2 linked regions of the Oryzias latipes genome follow. The protein of the gene in region 1 purifies or fractionates together with the protein of each later gene. This does not show direct contact. Links are inferred from orthologs where the notes say so. Each region holds a gene or a part of one and is shown on either strand. Other genes may lie near its edges.

Evidence for each region.
Region 2: the proteins of dr1 (region 1) and histone acetyltransferase KAT2B purify together in Homo sapiens (affinity purification with mass spectrometry; 3 studies listed by BioGRID and IntAct, with this or other methods). This does not show direct contact. The link is inferred for Oryzias latipes from reciprocal best matches to the Homo sapiens genes DR1 and KAT2B.

Annotation. Positions count from the first base shown.
Region 1 is NC_019862.2:24,026,137-24,036,713, reverse strand, and holds dr1 (protein Dr1), read left to right. Parts: upstream 1-5,064; 5' UTR 5,065-5,682; coding exon 5,683-5,902; intron 5,903-6,072; coding exon 6,073-6,236; intron 6,237-7,463; coding exon 7,464-7,610; 3' UTR 7,611-8,735; downstream 8,736-10,577. Other genes in the region: retinol dehydrogenase 8-like, read left to right, coding at 565-661, 1,970-2,131, 2,286-2,465, 2,537-2,630, 3,021-3,204, 3,323-3,556. UniProt on the Homo sapiens protein: The association of the DR1/DRAP1 heterodimer with TBP results in a functional repression of both activated and basal transcription of class II genes.
Region 2 is NC_019869.2:22,458,817-22,469,331, forward strand, and holds the start of histone acetyltransferase KAT2B, read right to left. Parts: upstream 7,118-10,515; 5' UTR 6,991-7,117; coding exon 6,790-6,990; intron 5,357-6,789; exon of another isoform or gene 4,706-5,356; intron 4,632-4,705; coding exon 4,505-4,631; intron 4,430-4,504; coding exon 4,284-4,429; intron 4,205-4,283; coding exon 4,118-4,204; intron 4,033-4,117; coding exon 3,851-4,032; intron 3,196-3,850; coding exon 3,004-3,195; intron 2,627-3,003; coding exon 2,523-2,626; intron 2,425-2,522; coding exon 2,299-2,424; intron 2,173-2,298; coding exon 2,033-2,172; intron 1,963-2,032; coding exon 1,754-1,962; intron 1,663-1,753; coding exon 1,536-1,662; intron 1,463-1,535; coding exon 1,352-1,462; intron 1,136-1,351; coding exon 992-1,135; intron 912-991; coding exon 797-911; intron 719-796; coding exon 688-718; intron 591-687; coding exon 527-590; intron 453-526; coding exon 368-452; intron 1-367. Other genes in the region: ras-related protein Rab-5A, read right to left, coding at 9,280-9,395, 9,741-9,834, 9,954-10,076, 10,447-10,515. UniProt on the Homo sapiens protein: Functions as a histone acetyltransferase (HAT) to promote transcriptional activation. Has significant histone acetyltransferase activity with core histones (H3 and H4), and also with nucleosome core particles.

The sequences.
Region 1 (10,577 bases):
AAATATTTTAGCCTCCTCGGGAATTACATCCTACTCTACATTTTTCAGACAAGCTCAGTGTTTACAGACCGGTCCAATTTTTCATCCACCTGCAGTCCAAGGCCTGTAAAAGAGGCACCCGCCTCAATCTCCTCACTGCTGATGGCGACACCTGCTCCATTTTAACTCAATGATATTGAAATTTCCTGTAAAGTTAATCACAAGATGTTTTTGTTTTACTCTTTCTGTGCAATTGTACTTTCATCATTCCAGTTTTCCATCACACACAAGTTTGATCAAATATAATTTTCTAACCTTGTACTTTTACCATGATATCAGATACTTTCTTCATCTTCAGTTCACTGCAACACAAAACTAGCTCTTATCTGCTTTAATCTGCCTTGATCAGCAGCACTATGTGTATACTACACTTCACGGTAATCTTCAGGGCAGGTGCATGAGGCTCTGCTGAGTTGCAGGCCTGAGGATTACGGTAAGGTCTTTAAGATTGCCTCCACATCCAGTCTTTTATTCTCCTCCATCCTTACCTGCTGCAGCTGCAAGACGAACAGTAAAAGCGGGAAAATGAACCAGAAGGTGGTCCTCATAACTGGCTGCTCCTCTGGGATTGGGCTCGCTTTGGCTTGCCGCATTGCAAAAGATGAAAAGAAAAGGTTTATGGGTAAGTTTCAATGATTTAGTGTGAGCCTAAACTGTTTCTGAAAACATCCTTATTTTAATATTTGTACAATAATATGTTTGAAACAATGACCGCAATATTTAACAGTACACTGAAAACAGGATGTGGATGTTTAACAAATTAATGTTTTAAAAAAGAGACACCATCAGCAGAACTTAAGTCCATTTTTTAAAGTTTGAATATTTGGAGGCTGAGACTAAAAAGCATTTTAACCAGGTTTTAGGGTTTTATTGACGTTCTCCATTCTTGCCTGCTGCAAAAGACAAGAATGATGGAGAATGTTTGTTTACATGGTATTTATTTGCAAAAAATACAATGAAAAGAAATGTTTATATGGTTCTCATTGTAATATATTCTGTTGCTGTATCAAAATTCTGCTTTTATTGTCTCCGTATTAATTTATTACATAATCACTCTGAGCATTTCCAGATCATCTCAATCTGATTCCCTGCATTTATCTCCAAAATATCTAACATGAGCTGATCCTCCGATCTTTTAATTCTTGATCCTACCCGCCCTCTTCACAGAGAACCAATATTACGGGTAAAAATGCTTCCTTTAAAAAAGATTCCACTAACGATGACAAATGTTTTCTCTTTGGTTTATACTTATTCTGTTATCTTATAGGATATTGTTTTTTTTGTTTTTGTTGTTGGAAAGTGTTTTTATAAAGTCACATGCATTTCATCCATCCTTATATACAAGCTGTGGTTGAGTTCTTTCCTTCACTTTGTCCTTCCAGGCTTTGGCATGATGGTTCTGAATGTTGTAAAGATTACTCCACAACTCACTAATGAGGCCAGCCATGGCTCTGGACCCCCCTGAGGGATCTAAAGGATCAGTGTTTTGTCAAATGGGACAATCTGAAATGTGACTGAAGAATTGAATCACCAACCCTTTCTCTGAAAGGCAACTGTGAGCCACAGCCACCCAGGATTATTTCAAATTCAGTCTATGTGGAGTGGACTGTGCTTACACTAGGTTTCTGGTTCCAAGGTGGGACAGATTATTTGGGTTTAATTTCTCCAAACAAAACAATTCTAAAATGGTGAACACCTTTCTTAGCACACCAAGCAGGGGTTAGGGGATACTTCTGCTGCTTAAAAAGAGATCATAGTTACAAGTTTTGGTCAAAGTCTTTGAAAATGACTGTTAATTTTCTAAGGACAAAAGATGCCTGAAGAGCCTCTAAAATCAAGCAGAGGTCATTGTGCTTATTATAAAACTACTTTTATTTAGTGACACAGCAACTAAAAACTGCATCTTCCACTGAATGTTTTTCTCTTGCAGTCTATGCAACCATGAGGGACCTGCACAAGGCTAAGCCACTGATAGATGCGGCTGGTCGGACACTGGGCAGAACCTTGGAGATCAAGAAGCTGGATGTTTGTGATGAGGATTCCATCAAAGATTGTATTGACAGCCTACCAGAACGCAGGGTGGACATCCTCAGTATGTCGACTCTAGGTTCCTTTCATACATGAGTATTGTCTTGATATAAGTGTTATGACGCACCATAACAGACTTATTGAAGTTCTTTTTCGTGCAACATCTTTTGAGCACACTTTGTCAACATGACCCCCACATTTTTATTTCCTGGTAAAAGTAAGCAATGCAGGGATGGGCCTGATCGGACCCATTGAATGTCAGTCTATTGATGAGATGAAGACGGTCATGGACACAAACTTCTTCGGACTTGTGCGATTGCTGAAGGAAATCCTACCCGACATGAAAAAAAGGAAGAAAGGCCACATCGTGGTCATTAGCAGCGTGATGGGCATTCAAGGTGAGGACGGCTGCAATGCCTAGTTGATCATTTGTCTGTGACTCTCTGACCTGTGATGTTCTCTGTTTTAGGGATTTTGTTCAACGACGTCTACGCAGCATCCAAGTTTGCAGTGGAAGGTTTTTGTGAGAGCCTGGCTATACAAGCCTTGAGATTTAATCTCAAGTAAGATACTCAAACACACAAGGACAAAATTGTTAGTAACTGTCTTTTAATAGACACTGTTTACATTGATGTACTTTGGGTTCACCTTTAATATCTATGGAGGTTGTGTTGGGCTCTTTAGTTAATTTTAAGTGACCATTGTTAGGTTTTTTTTTATTACCAATAGAGAAACATCATCAATTTTGTCTAGGCAAATATTGCTAAATATGTATAACAGTGAAACGACAAGACACCAGGTTTTCCTAAACCCCTTTCCAAATTACAAAAAACAGTTTCCAGTTTACACATAATTTAAAATGCCTAGTTACAAAAGAAAACCAAATTTCAACCCCTTTTTTTTTTTACCAGAATCCAAGCAATTGTAATTAAAACTGTGAACTATGTTTTTAGCATCAGTTTGATTGAACCAGGCCCGGTGCTGACAGAATTTGAACGAAAGGTCTATGACGAAGGTGTGAAGATCGATCTCAGCAAAGCTGACAAACCAACTGCTGATATGTTCACAAACATCTACCTGAAGAACTACAAGCAAATCTTTGAAACCCTTGGACAAAGTGCTGAAGACATCGCAGAGGTACACAGCCCCCCAAACATGCTCGTGTGTCAGTTATGTCATGTGTTTTGACATTCTGAAGCAAAGTTCTCTTTTGTTTTAGTGTTGTTGATTTTTTTGCTGTGTGTTTTCTTCTCAGCACACACTAAAGATCATCACCATGGAGAACCCGCCTTTTCGCCATCAGACAAACACACTTTACACCCCCATGACAACACTCAAATATGCCGACCCCAATGGTGACCTTCCAATTGACACATTTTACAAGATGGTGTTTGAGCACGACAAAGTCTTCAACGCTAGCCTTAACTTCCTCAAACTTCTGCGCTGGAGAAGTCGCAAGAGTTTCACCCTGGAAAAAGACAAGAACTGAGTGTTTCAGGATTTTAATTTCAAATGCAAAATACATCAGTGGTTCAGAATTTAAAATTACATTTTGAAAAGCCTTCTACAGAAGTAGTATTTGAATTGAGAGAGTATATGTATTTGAAGGCAATCTTAAATAAAAAAGGTTTGAGAAGTGTGTAAATTTTGATGCATGAGAACTGCTTAAACAGTTAACACAGTGGCGAATTCCACTGTGTTAATTAAAATTCACTTTAAACATGTTTAAATCCCACTTCTACCATCTTTTGATCTATTGTAAAATTGTTCCCAGTTATATTTTTCTGTTGCTCTCAATAAGCTGGCTAGCTTCTGTTAAAAAATCCAAAATTATTATTTAAACGAATTAACTAACACTAACAACAATATTTATCATAATTTCAAAGGAAGTTCTATTTCTTTATTAATTTTTCTATGCCACTAAATAAAGATCATTGTGAGAGAAACTACTGTTTGGCATTTTGAAATGTTTGTCTTTAGAAATTACATTAGATCAAGTTCTACAGGTAGAACTTGATTTAATGTATATTTACACTTTTTGGAAGTGTAAATATAACTTAAAAACAAAATGTTCACACATGGCAACGGGGCAACTCTAAGTCAGATAAAACAAAGAATAGTAGGGATGTAACACTTAATTAATTTATTTATCCAGATCAAAGTCTGAGACAAGTTGTTAATCAAATCGATAAATACCATAAGATCATTTCAAAATTAAATTGACTATAATCTTTACTGAAAAATACCATTTGGATTGAGGCATTGTAGGTTTATTTTACTGTAACTTAAAAATGACCACGTGCATCACAGTGGACAACACACACACACACGAGATGACAGCAAAACACTTTTGATTTAGCAAAGACGTGACCAAACAGTGTGGTAGAATGTTCTGATAATGTTCCATTTGTATTATTTTTTATGTGGAAAAACAACAGTAGGCAAAACTTTATGAAACTAAAATGTGAATGGATTTGACATTGGTACTTGATTACTGGCTTGTTTGTACACATATTTAATTTACACTTGATTATCTTGAAAGAAATACAAGGAATGTGGAAAAACTTCACCTTGCACTGTTAGTACCCAGGTATTTATCTCTGAGCCACATTGGTTGAATATTTGGCTGAAGATGTTCTGGATCAAAATAAGGTCAGTGAATCGTAATAAATTTACTGGTTCACTATGATCTAAAATTAACTATGAATCATATCAGCAACCACAAATTATATGAATCAAATTATTCTTAATATTAATGTTACAACTGCTAAAAACAATGCATTTGTAGATACATACTTTTTTTTTCTTCATTTAAAATAAATATATTTCCAAAAGTAGGCAATCTTAGAAAAATCAGAGATAATAGTTTGGTTTTGTAACGAAAGAAAAAAAAGATAATTACATCTGTAGCTCCCTGCGGAACAATTTCCAATCATTTGTTGTACCACCCGACTCCATCCTGGTGGGCACCGGAAATTGTTATAGCGCACACTCGGAGCCAATCAAAAACGCCCTTTGTCTGACGTCGTAACCGGACACATTTCAGCTAATGTTTGTACAGTACACAACTCCAAATTATAAACCTAAACAAAACATCTGCAATCAAATTTTGGTCAAGTTCAGGACTTACATATAAATACTCCAATTATTTACGAGTAGAACTGACTATAATTCTTGCGCTTCGTAAAGCAAACAGCTCCGCTTCATCTGCGCTTAATTGTTAGCTTAGCTTAGCCATGCTCTCCGCTTTCATTGGACTTGTGTGCTGCGTCTCAGTTTCGCCACGGACGACGGATATAAGGATATAATTTTTCTTCCCCCTCCCTTTTTTTACTGTAAGCTTCAGAGCAATCTTGGACATTTATTCGCCGATTAAATACGATATAGGAGCGCCGCTCAAGCAACAGAACCTGCTCATTGTTTGACATTTGGTTGGTAAGCTAGCCAGTGGGCTAACTTAGACTAGCTCGCTTGGCAACATTTCCATCGATATTTTCTTGAACCGTTATCTGTCTACTGTAACATGGACATAGAGAAGACAGTGAACGCGTGATAAATCTTCTCGAAGAAGCGGAGTTCCACTATTCTGTTCCTTTCCCCCCTTTTTTCATCACTATGGCTTCCTCGTCTGGAAATGACGACGACCTCACCATACCGAGAGCAGCTATCAACAAAATGATCAAAGAAACTTTGCCTAACGTACGGGTGGCCAACGATGCCAGGGAGCTTGTGGTCAATTGCTGCACAGAGTTCATCCATCTTATTTCCTCCGAGGCGAATGAGATCTGTAACAAATCCGACAAGAAGACCATATCTCCAGAGCATGTCATTAACGGTTGGTTCTCATTTACATGTATTTACCACCTCTTTAAATATCGCTCGTCCTTTATGTGGGTGGGTGTGTGTGTGTGTGTGGGGGGGGGGGGGATGCAAAGGAGCACGGATCCTCCTGCAAGCTTCACATCATAGAAAGTGTAGTTTCAACCTCGTGTTTCTGCACCACAGCCCTCGAGAGCCTTGGTTTCGGCTCGTACATCACAGAGGTGAAAGACGTGCTGCAGGAGTGCAAAACGGTTGCTCTTAAGAGGAGGAAGGCCAGCTCTCGACTGGAAAACCTGGGCATTCCGGAGGAGGAACTCTTGAGGCAGCAGCAGGAGTTATTTGCCAAGGTCTGATCTCAGAAAACTGCACCTTCAAATGTGGCTTGAACACCCACAATAATATTAACCTACAGATCATGATGAACACGGGCACACAACTTGTACTTTTCATTTGAGGTACAGAAGGGCTTGGTTTTGTTAACATTTTCAAAAGTTTCTAAACTGGTCATTCCATTTAAGGATATCAATCCCCTTTAAGATTGGATGCAAACAAATTTAGGTGTTTTAATAGAAAATACTTAACTAAGCTCATAGAGGAAGTATTTAAGATGAAAAAAAATCTTTTCCTGTCAAGTATTGTAGAAATGAAGACATGTACACACAAAACAATTTCAAATATCATATAGGCATACACATTTAAATCAACCTGAATGTAACTTCCTCTTTGAGTTATGCTGATTGTCCTGAAACAAAGCACTCTCTGCTCATTCAAAGTAAGTTAATGTGGCCCTTTCAGCTTTAACTGACAGGCCATGGTGTGTTTTTGCTAAAGGTTTTTTACTTTAAAGACCCACTCAAATAAAATATCATGTTTTTGGTGTTTTCTAAAATCTTCTTGTGGCATTTTTCTGATGATGGAAGACGTATCATAAGAAAAACAAGCTTCATATTACATTTCTGAGCATTTCTTCATTCAAATAGTTCTGAGTCAGGAGCAAACGACAAAATGCTGTGTGGAAAAAGCTACAATCGGCGGGCCACAAGCTTCCCTCTCTGCTCCATTCTGATACATCCTCTTGCAGACAAATGCATCCATGTACGTCTTTTTCCTCGTCTTAACAGGCTTCCGACTCAGCTATACAGCTGGAAATCCAATATTGCTTATCATTTTTGTCGCACTGGTAAAGTTAGGTTGGGGGTTTGAGGGGCTGTAAGCTAGAAAAATGCTACAAGAACATGTTAAAAACACCAAAAGCATGATTTTTATTTGAGTGGGTCTTTAAGGTCAGAGAGATGTATTTTGTTCACATTCCTTTAAAAAAAACATTTTGTTCCTATGTATTGCTTTGTTTGATTTGCTGCGTTGTATTTGATATTCATTTAATAAATATCCAACAACACAAGATAAACCTTTTTGAGAAGTTACATGTACGGTATATATTTAAAAAATTACCAAAAACTATTATTTCTGCAGTAACCGGCCGGACTCACTGCAGGTTGCCATGAGCTTGAATGGGTAAACCTGAAGTGCCACATTGTGTCAAGCACTCATGATAGAATGTGCGTCTTCTGCAGGCGCGGCAGCAGCAGGCGGAGCTTGAACAGCAGGAGTGGCTGCAGATGCAGCAGGCTGCCCAGCAGGCACAGATGGCAGCAGCATCTGCAAGCGTTGCCCAGCAGGCGGGCTCTTCTCAGGATGAAGACGAAGAGGACGAAATGTGACCCCCCCCCGCGACCCACTTTACTGTGTTTGAATTTAACGTTAGGAAAGTTTTGGTACACAAATCTCAGTTTTGCCATGAACAGGGACTTAAAACATGTTTGTGTACTTGAAATTTAGAAAGCTAAAGAAAGGGATGCGAGGGGAGAAACGGCCCCACATGCACATTCAAAGAAGCGTTTTTACCGGAAAATGGTAAAAATGGAAAGGCTGTTTGCGAAGTTTTTCATTAAATTTATATTCCCCTGGGTTTTTTTTTTCACTTTTATGTTCATTGTTAATTTATAGATTTTTCTTTACGTGTTGAGAGCACGTTCAAAGAGCAGACTTTGTGACAGATAAATTCACAGCAGATCTTTGCTCCTTCTGATACGGCATTAGAAGATCTGTTCAACTCATCCTTGGAGCTCAAACATGTTCAGAATTTCTGTTCAGGAATTTCCAAGCATCTGCTTTCTGCATCTTTCTCCCTTCTCGGTTTATTTGTCAAAGTGAATTCATGCAGCATGTGTGTTGGTATCTGTGCATCAGCGTCTGCCTGTGTACTGTGTAGGGTTAGATTTAGAGAGCATAGGCTAATGGCAGGACGCTAATGCCCATGTACTGCTGTTTGCTACATAGAGAACTTAAAAGGCATTATTGTTTAATTTTTAGATCATCCAGGCACTTCTTTTCCTTTAAACACCCACAGTATTGATAATTAGCAGCACCTACACATTTTTGTTTCATAGAACCAAAGATGGGGGATTTAACTTTTGTAGTTTTCTTTTCCTTTTTTAGATGTAGGTGCTGCTTAGTCAAGATCTTCTAAAAACCATGTCAAAGACAATAAACTTGAATCTCTGTGAGGCACTTGGGTGTCTAGGCTTACATTGCAGTTTCCATTCTAGTTCTTTTACAACATAATATATTTCCATCAGGAATTTGGGACATCTTTGGAAAAAACCAACCACCTTATTGTGATATGCATTTATTGTCTGTTCTACAGAAATGTATTCTTTCAACAATAAAATAATTTTTTATAGACTTTTTTTTTTTTAATCTTCTAAGATGTACTGTTCTGCTTGCTTACATTATTATGGTATCTTTTTCTATGACCTTTGTATAATAAAGCAAAGTACATTCTGCTTCATGCTTCCTAGGAAAAAAATAACAAAATAAAAATAAACTACTACATTAGTATATTTCTATCAACTAAAAGTGGCAGAACTGTGATCAAAAACAATGTTTCTGAAGTATAGACTAAATTAAACTACTGCTCAATAATTAGGTTAAATCTTGATTTTGAGCTTAATGCATTTTGTGGAAACAAAATGTGGAGTGGTAGAGTGGTCGACATATGAGTGGAAGGTCGCTGGTTCAGTTTCCGCTCTGCTTGGCGATGTGTTGAAGTGTCCTTGTCACCACTGAAACCCACATTGCTCCCCGGAGGTTATATGTTGGCGCCAGAGTTCAGCAGCAGAGCTGCTATCAGTTTGTGAATGGGTCTCTGACTGTAAAGGGCTTCTTAGAAGGTAGCAAACCGCTATGTAAATTACCCTCATATACTATTTACGTCACTTGATCCCGGCATGCTTTTCAAAAATCCATGAAAGCGAAAAACAGTTTTACTCTCAAACCTGACCTTTACTAATGAAATAAAATGTTTCTATTGCAACATTTACTGTAGAGTGAATGACAGCTGTTTATTCTGCTGTGGAGGCCACCATAGGCTGTTTTTTTGCTGCTAAAGTTTATGGAGCCTTATGCAATTGCACCTGTAACCCTTGTGCTATCCTAGGCACTTTAACATTGGGAGTTGGGTCATGTAGACCCACTATACAGTGCGCTAAATCTTTTTTCTTTAATGATTTGTGATCTTCACTGGTGTCCATGGATTACATGAAATCTTTCAACCTTTATCCACCTTTGTCATGGTTGGGAGAACACGTCAATGTAAGGGTGGGGTCATCTAAGATAGCGCAAGGGTTAAGCAGGCATCACCAGTCAGTGCAATATCAATTTGGTTATTGTAGGTGGTCCAGTCATTGCATGTTTTTACCTCAGAAACATCCTAGAACCTAGGGTTAACATTTAGAGTAATCAAATAACCTATGAAGCATGTTTTTGGACTGTGGGAGGAAGCTGGACTGCACGGAGAAAACCCATACATGCATGAGGGGAATATGCTAACTACACACATAAAGGATCCAGCTGGGATTCAAGCCAGAGCCTTCTTGCCATGAGGCAAGAGTGCTAACCACTGTTCCACAGTGCAGCCTGAGCTGGATCTTCTTACTCCATATTTGGTCAGAAAGGGAAACACTGCCCTCATTTGACAATGTAAAGGAACATCAGTTAGTGATAGGGGAGTAATGATTTGTTTTAACAATGATTCGATTCATATCACAATTTCTAGTTGACCATACAATTCATGGTCAATATTCGTTCATTTTGAATAATCCGATTCCCTGACCCAGAATCAACCAGCGTGACTCAGAGATAAAAACTTGCGTACTGAACAGTGGTAAATGGTAATGGTAAATGGCGTATACTTATATGGCGCTTTCTACCCTCTTTCAAAGGCCCAAAGCGCTTTACAGTCACAGTCCCATTCACCCATGCACACACACATTCACACACTGATGGCGGCTCCGCTGCCGAACACTGGCGCCAACCTCCCACCAGAGGCAAGGTGGGGTTCAGTGTCTTGCCCAAGGACACTTCGACACATGGGCGTGCAAGGCGGGAATCGAGCCTGCAATCTTACGATCATGGGTCGACCGCCCTACCGCTGCACCACGGCCGCCCAATGCAGGGGAAGCTCTCCACATTCCTTGCAAGATAATTAAGAGTACATTAAATATGTGAACGAACAAACATGTAAACAATAATTAATATGGTGCTAGTCTTATTAACCCTTGTGCTATCTTAGATGACCCCACCCTTACATTGACGTTTTCTCCCTACCATGACAAAGGTGGATAAAG
Region 2 (10,515 bases), on another chromosome or scaffold:
TCCGAGTCCCTGATTGGTCAAAGTTGAACTGGTTTAACTTTCAACGCGCGTTCAATGGCTGTGTAATTTGTACTTGTGTGAACATGAGCGTTTTACATGTGGAAGCCAAAAATGTGGGCTTACATTCATTTTTCAGTGTTCATTTTTGAGTGCATGTTGCAGAGGCCGATGTGAATGTAGGATGAGACTATGAATCAGAACCAAAGACCTGCAGTGCTCCCTCAGCCCTGACACCAGCAGCAGGAAATTTGATTCCGGTAATCTTATTTTAATTTTAAGGCCTTGATCACTTATATTGTGACACTTGCTTCATATCAAACTCAACAAGCTGACATGAGTCGGTTCCTCATTAGTACTCAGTACGTACCCATGGGAAAGCGAATGACTTGGTAGTAACCCGGTGCCTCTGTTTTCTTCACGGGTTCCATGAAGGGCCAGGCGTTTTGGTGGCTCTGAAACATGCAGATTTGAGTTTAAAAAACATAAACAGATGTGGCGTGCATGTTTTTACGGGTTTGTCCTTCACCTTCACATGCTGGAGGATGGACTTCAGAGTGGTGTACAGTTGCTCTGGATCCTTCAGTTCCTTCCTGAAATAGAAATAGAAAAGCAGAAATTGTAACAATAATGTTTTATTTTTTTTTGTAAAAATGAGGCGTCCTTCGAGGCAGATGCTTATGACCTTACCCTTTACCTGCAGGCTTCCATCCAGTTTCGCCTGTGGAAAAGACCGTCTAAAATGAGATCCCATTGGGGAGGAAAGCGTTTCGTACAGCGAGCAGTGAACGTAACATACGTATGCCAGGAATGCTCTCGATGGGAATCTGCCGGACTCCGTCCTTAAAACAGGACAGTCCTGGGTAGACCTTTCTGATCTGAGCCTGCTTCCTTTCGATCAGCTTCTTAATGATCTGAGCAGGAAGAGGGACACCGGGTTGAGTGGGGCTACAGGAAGGAAGCAGCGAGGACATGGACCCAACTCAATACGTACCTCCTTCTGCTTTTTGATGATCACCGAGAACTCGGTGTACGGGATGCTGGGATTGAGTTCACAGCCCATGAGCGTGGCTCCTTCGTAGTCCTTGATGTAGCCCACATACTTCGACTTGGGAACTTTGATGTCCTTTGAAAAACCCTGAAGGAAAATAGGAGCAATTTAGCATCAAACAAAGCAAGATAAAGATTACTGTATTCATTACTACTATTATTAGCACCTACTGGAACAACATCACATTTCAAACACAATGGCTTGAAATGATACTCTCCTGTAAGGAAGCCAATGTGACTGGGTGTCCAGAAAGTCCCTGAAAAGTTGCACAACATCTCTCTACGTCTAGAAACAACAGTATACCTGTTTCTTAAAGTACCCGATGGCGTACTCGTCGGCATACGTGAGGAAGTTGAGAATTTCATGCTTAATGTGGTATTCCTTCAGGTGGTTCATCAGGTGGGTTCCGTAGCCCTGCAGCCAAACAGCGACAGGTAAAAAGTGCATCCAAGCACAAGCAGAGCTGGGAAACCGAGTGTCTTCTCACTTTAACTTGTTCGTTAGATGTGACCGCACAAAAGACGATCTCTGTGAAACCCTGCGACGGAAACATCCGGAAGCAGATTCCTCCAATCACACGCCCGTCCTTGATTAATGACAGCGTCTTGTGCTTCCTGCGGGACCAAAACGTTTCAAATGGCTGTTATTTAATTCACTCAGAAGGGTCTTGCAGCAGTTCGGAGTCGAGAACAGACGTGGACTCACGGGTCAAACACCAGCCGTGTGATGTACTCTTTGGGCATGCGGGGCAGCTGGTGCGAGAACACATTCTGAAGCCCCACCAGCCACATCAAGATCCTTTTGTTGGGCTTTTGGTTCAGCGAGTTCCCGATGACGTGGAACTCAATCACTCCTCGCCGCTCCTCAAGGCGCGCAGCTTCGTCACGAGCCGAATGAGCAGACAGTAGACTTGTCTGAAAGAAAAAAAAAAAGCATAAAGCAGTGGAAATGGTTGAATTGATATTACACATCCTTCAAAGCTACCTCTGGAATGGTGGCAGGGTCGGTGATGGTCGCCATGACTTCGTTGATGAGATCCATGGGGATGTCACCCATCACCCGTGGTCTTTTGTTTTCTTCGTGGTGAAGGGGTTCAGAGGCTTTGCGTTTTTCTCCCACTACGACTAAATCCAGACAATGCAAGAAGGTATTTTAGTCACATAGTGCAAATCAAGCATATAAAATGAACCTGTCGAAAATGGACCCTGAGCTGCCTTTCCAATTTCTTTGCACAAATCCTGGGTTCCCACCTGGGTTCGACTCCAAAGTAGGGTTGGGTTTCCTGGCAGGACTGACGCTTCCGCATGTGGATGGCTCCACCGAAACCGGACTGGCGCTGTAGTACAGTGACCTCGTCACTGGGGGTGCGCTGATCACTGGGGAAGATAGACGGAAATAGAAAAGGATTCAACCACAGGAGCTTGGAATACCAAAAACTAGGAAAAAATCGTTGGGTATAGGTAGTTTTTTCTACCAGTCTGAACGGGAATCTGCCCGCCTGTAGTTCCTGCCAAAAACTCCAGACTCCAGATAGGAGAGCTGTGACTGTACACCTCCTCCTCCAACATCGACAAGAACCTAGAAGAAGAAATCAAGCGTGACTTAAACATGTAACTGCATTATTTATCAATAAAGCCAGGATTTTATCATCGGTTTTTGTGCGTCTGTGACGCACATAACGCTATAAGTTAGTTTTGCAATGAAAGTTTGAAATTGATTCAATCTTATGAAAATGTAATAATCACTCTGTGACTTTGAGTGGAATGGGTTCATAAGAATGTGTTTTTTATATTTCTAAAATATTCCTGGTCCCTGTTGTGAGTTATTTTCAAATTCTAGTTCCTTTAGTTTTAGTTTATTAGCTGGAATTTGAATTACTGTGATTTTTAACAGACAGTTCTTAATAGTTTCTTTGAAAACTTGTTCAGTTTGTCTGAATGCGGCTGCTGTCTTACTTTGGAAAGTGTGTCAGAATGAGCGTGCGCTTCTCTGGGGGCAGCTTGTCCTTCTCCTGCCTGGCCTGCTCCAGCAGCTGCTTCCTCATGATGGTGAACACAGAACGCAACAGCGTCCGACCGAAGATCTGGGTGGTTTCGTACCGCGGCAGGCTGTCGCAGAACTGGGGCACATTGCAGTAGCACAGCCACCTGAGAAAGGGGGACCCCTTACTTTTTGGATCTCTGTGGTTTGACCATTGACTGTATCAAAGAACTGGACTGAGTGACACCCCCCTCCCCGTGTTCCAAACAGGAAGTACTCACTGGCTCCAAGAAAACATAATCCCATAGACTCCTATTGAGAAAAAAAAAGCTGTTACTCATTCTATTTGTCAGAATAACCATTCTTGCTCGGCTACTTTTTATAAACATTTTATAAACACTTTCTCGTTCTCATTTTTTTCACATTGTTTCTGTTAGGAAAGTTATTCAAGTTATGAACAGATTGATTGTTCTTTGCGTGTTTTTTTTTTGTACTTCTTCCACGGTTTTAACGTGGTTCATTCTTGATAGATCTGTGAACATTTTGCGTAAAGACCACTACTTTTCTCCCCTTTTCCACACATATTCATATATGACCAATTTTCACATGTGTAATAAGCGTCACACGGCCTTTACCAACGTCGTCTGGGTCCAACATGGCAATGTCCGTATTGCGACTGAATGATGACAGAATTCACTGCATTTGGTTGGAGCCAGAACTCATTTTTTATGGGTGACATCACACTCACTCGGTCCAGTTCTCGTATACATTCAGTGGGTTTGACTGAAACCTGCGCGGGACAGATGGGTTCATGGTCGGTACCTGGTGTAGTTGACTTTGTATCCCGCCGTTTCCTCGTTCGGAACCCTCTGGCGCCTTTGAGACGGTGTTTCCAGCTGCCAGTAGTTGATTTGGTTAAGAAACATCTTCGCCAGCTCCATGATGGTTTGACGCTCTTTTGATGGTAGATGGCTAAATTTGTACTGGACAAAGTTGTTCACTCCCTATTGAATTAAAATTTAAAATAAAAAAAGAAATGAATCTTACAATTTAGTTAAAAAAAACCCCACCAGGATTTCTTTAATTCACCTGTTCAATGCTGGGTTTTTCAAAAGGAGGACTCTCTTGTGCTTCCAACATCGGTTTACCCATCTGCAAGATGGATTTCCTTAAAAGCTGAAAGGCAAGCCGCCGTTGGTGAGTGAGGTAACAGTGTTTATGAAAAAAGAAAAAAATGGTGACGCTAGAAATGTACCTTAAACAGTGAAAAGTAGACTTGTTTAGTGTCAGCATCCTCCTCTTTGTGGACACACGTGTACAGGTATTCCACGTCCAGGACGACACCTAGGAGTCGGTTCATTTCCTCTTCCGATATATTTTCTAGATGGCTCACGTGATCGCCTGTGAGGTGACAGAGGCTGGAATCTTCCAAGATCTGAAGGAGGATTATTGCAGGCAACTGGAAATACAACATACCCAGAGTGTGGGAGCAGCTGCGGCAGGGCTCCTGTAGGTTCACTGTGTTGGTCTGCTGGTCGGTTTGGGGGGGTGTGGGAGGGGGGTTCTGGCTTTTCCAGCCATTACATTTACAGGGCCCCTCAGCCTATAAGGAAAAACATTAAAATTGTTATATCTTTTTTATTTCATTTTTAAATATACAATCATAAACAAAGTTACCTATTTTATTTAGTTTTGATGATACCAATAATGAGCTATGTATGCTTTAGGTAAAGACTAGAAGATGGGACATTCCAAAAGAGGGCCTACCACCGCAACTGTTGGCGACCCCGTCTTCTGTCTTTAATCAACACTTTTTCCAAAACGGCTTTGTAATTTTGCCAGAATGATTAAATCGATACAATTGCCAATGTTCATCTCCTCCTCCCATTGGAATTATTTGAAGACCAACTCCGATTATTTTTGATAAATTATAAAAGCGTTCCCAGTTACGATTTTAGGCAAAATTTTAAAAAACGGGTCATTTTCTAGGCAGAAAACATTGGCGTGTAGCAACCCCACCTCCCTTCCCCTCCCCTTTGTTGAGAGTTCTCCGTTTACACTGTCTCCCACTAGCTCACAGCCCCTCACAACCCAGAGTTAACGTTAACAGTGCAACAAAAATGTCAAGCAATATCAGAACTATCCTTCTGAAGAGTTTTGTGCCAGACGCTAGCTCGGATAAAGAAAACGAAGATGTACAAGTCGTCTACAAATGGATGCATCAGAATGGGGGGGAGATCACGGAGCATTTCGCCCGCACAGTGTAATTTCTACATCCCAACTAAAACCTTTTTCAGACTGCATTCTTTCGTCTGCTCTTGATTCACAATGATTTGAATAAAGACTTAGAAATGCAATTTCTAACTTAATTTTCTTTATGTTTGTCTTTTTTTCATGAAAAATGTCTGGAGAACATATTAGAAAGACAAAAAATACATATTTTCATCGCGTGGTTCTTCCTAAATTCAGTTCCTGATCTCAACCTTTAGGGGGCAGTAGTCACAAACATTTTTTTGTATTAGCACGCGCCAAATAAGATTCCACTAAAATTATCTCCAGCAACAAATACGTCCCTATTTGTAAAATAAATAAACTTTTTTGCTTTTCTAATTTAATAAGTAGCATGGGTTTTGAATACTCTTTTTAGTCTCAATTGTATCAACGTTTTTTTGAGCCACAATTCAAAGTGATATGCAATTCTCAATTAAAAATTCAATTTGCAATATGATTATACGATTTAACCCTTGTGCTATATTAGATGACCCCACCCTTACATTGACGTGTTCTTCCTACCATGACAAAGGTGGATAAAGGTGGAAAGATTTCATGTAATCCATGGACACCAGTGAAGATCACAAATCATTGAAGAAAAAAGGTTCAGAGCACTGTCTAGTGGGTCTAGATGACCCAACTCCCAACGTTACAGTGCCTAGGATAGCACAAGGGTTACAAATGCATTTTTTCAATATTTTATTTTTAAAATTGTCATATTGAAATATAAATTTAGATATTGAATCCTAATTTTCAAAATGTGTTTTCGTTTTCCAAGCCTGAAATGTCAATTCACAATTAAATTTTACTCTAATCATGACTTAAAATGCCTCCATACAATTGAGACAGATTTCCGGAGGCGACATTTTGGGGGAGGAGCAGGACTGACACCGCTGTCAGTTGGCTACGCTGTTCTGCGCACGCGCTTGGAACTACAACAAACTCCGCCCACCGCAGCAGCTGTCACCCTGTCAAAACAAAGACCCCTTCCCTCTCTGCGGATCACCCGCCGCACAAGCCCAATAACCTGCTCCGTGCTTCCCCCCGCGCTCCGTTAAACGCCTCGGGCAAGCGTGGAAAAATTCCTGTAGTGGCATAAGCGCGCACGTGACCACAAACAGAAATTTTTTTTTTTATTATTTTTACCTCCGTTAGCTTGTTACTCCTAAACAGCGCGAGGCGACCCCCTCTTTGACACACAGTCACACTATAAACGCTTTCCGGGGGGAAGGCACTACTTTAAGAGTCCTAGTGTGAACTAAAACAAGCGTCACGCGCGCCGCAGTTTTAAAGACTCCCCTCTCGGTTGTGTACGGAGGACAAAAATGAAGAGGGGAGAAAAAGTGGGGCAATGGCTTCCTCTGCTGGGTTTGCATATGATAATGCGATACTGAACTATTGCAACCTAACCTCAGAGGAAAATCCTCCAAGACCAACGCGCACTACAAACTTCACTGTTCCGGCAGTCCGTCCACTGCGGGAGTGCATACTTTGCATGACGAATAAATTCCGAGTTTTTCCAGTTTCTTCGGCCGAGGCGAGGAGCGGAGTTGCGCCTTCTTCGCGACGATACGTGCGGATCCTCCAGCGGCGCCGGAGCCTTCCGTTCCCCCGGCACCGGGGGCGGCTGGGACAAGGCCGGCGGCTCCGATGGCCGGCGAGCCTTGTTGAATTCCAGCGCTGTCGGCCATTATCCCCCACAAAAAACCCAGAAGGCCCGGGGAAAGCTCGCAGCGCCGTCCGCTCTATTCCACAAGCAGAGAATCAGACATGGCGCTCATCCTTATTTTCAATTTCTCGCTGTGGGGCCGATTTCCTCCACTAGGGGGCGCAGCGCTGATCCTCTGACTTGCACACATTTCAGAGAGGTCACAAAATGCAGGCAAAGAATTTCAAGGTCATTTGTCCATAATTTTAGCACATTTTCAGACAATAAAGCAATGAAGCATAAATAAAAGTAAAAAAACACCGAAAAAATAAAAAAAATGTCAAAGTAAAGTGACATGAGGTGTATATACACAAAAAAGTCGTACCACAATGACAAATGATCACATTTATTTCAGTATTGATTTGGTCATTACATAACAGTGCTGTCAAACACTTGCATTTTAGACTATCCTTTAATGCAAATAAGTATTTTCACACAAAAAAATGCCATCTTTAAGTGGTTTTGGAATAAAATAACATTTAAAAAAATCCAGTATGGTCACAAATCGCTCCAGGCCAGTGGATTTTCATCCTTCTGAATGTGATATCTGATTGTGGTGCGTATCGAAATTCCTCTCTACACACAGGGAAAAGAACAAGGCATCATTGTCTCTGTACACACACACACGCTCACACAACACACGCAACACACAAAAGTTCAGATAAACATTTTTTTATTTGGAGAAATGGATTCTAAATAAATGCTATTTTTTTGTTAATATCACTACATACATAAAGACCACCACTGTTTATTATGCATCCTTGTGTGTGGGAAAAAAAAAGGTCCAAACTGAGAATGTAGCCATTTTTTTTAAACTACACTTTTTGTCTTCTCCTTGATTATCTAAACAACTCCCTAGCAAGCAGTAGTTGGTAAAATGAAAAGAAAAAGGGTAGACTACACTGCAACATGATATTTACAGTAAATTATTTATATATTTATATTATGTATATATTTATAATCACACCTGAAATTAGAGAAATTTTATGAGAATCATTAGTGCAAGACGTGAATAAAACCGATCTGTAACAAAAAAAAAAACAACAAAAAAAGACTGAAGTCTTAATGCCGCGGGTGTTTATGTGACAATGTGTAGGAAACGGACCAATAAGGTGTAACAGACAGAATATGAGCTGATCTAGAGCAGAAAAGAGCTCGGCGGAGAAAGTGAATCTGTTTTTGTTTTTATTGTGCAAATGTGAGTTCCAACGTGCACACACACACACACAAACGAGTGTGTTGTTTCATCTCCTTCTGAAATTCGTCACCGTTTCAGGCCCAGATTGCGGATAATGACACTAGTGTGTCTAAAGCACTTTTTTAAGATGTCAAATAATTATGATTCCAACATAATTACGAAGAATTCATACATATTGCAAAGCTCCGATCATCACTCTTTTTAACAAAAACCCTGCAACAACTGCGACAAATCCGTCAGACGATCCTGGACTTAAATCCCCCGTCTGAGCGCATGAGGGTCTATGATAAGACATAACACATCAGGTGTGGGTGAGTGAGGAAGGGGTTCCGCTGTGCAGCGCTGGTCCTGGCAGACGCTCACCTCAAGAGTAAATACTGCAAAACATTGCACAATGCCGCTATGGACAGGCTACAGGCAGGCACAGAGCCATGATGGAGCCCAGAGGTGTGGAGAGGGGAGAAGAAAAAAATAAATAGAGTGAATTTAGTGGAAGTGAAGGATACGGACAGGGTCAGTGAAGGGAATCAGATTTTAAAAAAGCCTTTTGTTTCTATCCGTTAAAGTAAAAAGGGTCGAGAGGGAGCACAGAGTTCCACCACCTCCCCTCTCAGATTCAGAATTCTTCTCCAACAGACTTTGTTAGAACACATTTGTCTCTTTTGACTTACCCAGATGGGAATTCATCATTTCCACAAATCTAAACAATGATTAACGTATTAATAAAAACAAAACAGCAGTTAGGCTTTAAGCTATTCCAGTAAAAGGGATTCCTCCACCAACAACTCTCATCTGCTTAAGCAACAGGGACGCCTGCTTCTGTTCTCAATCCATCAATTCTACTTGATGGACGAGTTGGTGGCATAAAAGTAAGACAAAGTGGTTAGGAGGCTTCATCGGGTCACGGTACAGAAAAAGTCGAAGAGAAGGGGGGGGGCAGGATGGAGGGGTTAATTGGGCGCAGGATATCTTTTCTGGCTTCAAACAATGACTGACACATTGTTTTAGTAGCTTCGGTGGCACGAGCCACATCAGTAACTAGTATGCAGGTGTTGGAAAACTGTGTTCTTCCTGTTAGTTGGAGCAGCATGGAGCCTTGGCCGGCTGGGCGGCTTCTGTCAGGTCCACTCCACGGTTCCGCCCGCTGGTGGCTCCTGGAGCCTGAGGCTCACTCTTCGGCAATCTCTTTGCTAAAGAATAAAAAGTCACAAAAATGTGAAAAAAAAAATACTTCTTTTAAAAGTTGTTTACAAATAAACTATTTTATTTCATTAAAAAATAGTGACGTAGAACCAGCCGACATTGGATTATGCAGTGGATTATCTCCCTGCAGTGACTCATGTCTGGCGGATTTGATGAAGCCATGATATTCGTCAACGCTCTATTATTGCTCAATTGAAGAATTGACTTGTGATCACAAGTCTCAGTAACACACCCACTGTGCAAGCACTTCTATGCAAGAGAATACAAACATGCGATCGACCACAATGTCTCCTATTACAATAGAAAAACATGAATTCATTTGAATTACCCACCAATTGCCATAAATATCTCATTGACATTCATCGATGTCTTGGCTGAGGTCTCCATAAACAGCAAGCTGTTGTCGTCTGCGTAAGACTGGGCGTCCTGTTGAAACAACACGGAGAATCCACTGAAGCTAAACATCCAGCAAGCGTTCCGGCTGTCAATGTATTTAAGCATCCGTGGGATTTAAATAGAACTAAATATGGCGTGTTCTTGCTCACCTGAAATTCGACAGCTCTCTTGTTAGCCAAGTCCGCCTTGTTGCCCGCCAGAGCGATGACTATATTGGGGCTAGCTTGTCTCTGTAGCTCCTTCACCCAGTTCTTTGCTCGTGCGAAGGACTCCTACGAAAAGGCATGTTAGCTAAACTTTCACTTGGGCCAATTCTTGAGGGGAAAATAAACATGAACCTGAAGCTAACATTACACTCTCTTTGAAGTACCGTAACTCTACGATCATTTTTCTCCTCATCAGAAACCTTTTTTTTATGTTAACTACGTCAATCAAGACTTACTACTGTAAAGAGTGCTTTTCTCCTCGTCCCAATCAGTTGGTTTACGTTATTTATTTCAAAACGTCACTACTGTAAAGTTCCAGAATCCGTTCATTTATGTTAATTGCGTAAACAGTTGAATAGTTACGGGAAGTCAAAGAAGGCCAACACTGGAGCTAAAGCTCCATAGTTCCAGCGCTTTCTGCGCGACATGAACGTGCCTCGTTTGTGATGTCGTAGACCACAATGGCTGCTTGTGCTCCTCTGTAATACATGGGTGCCAAACTGTG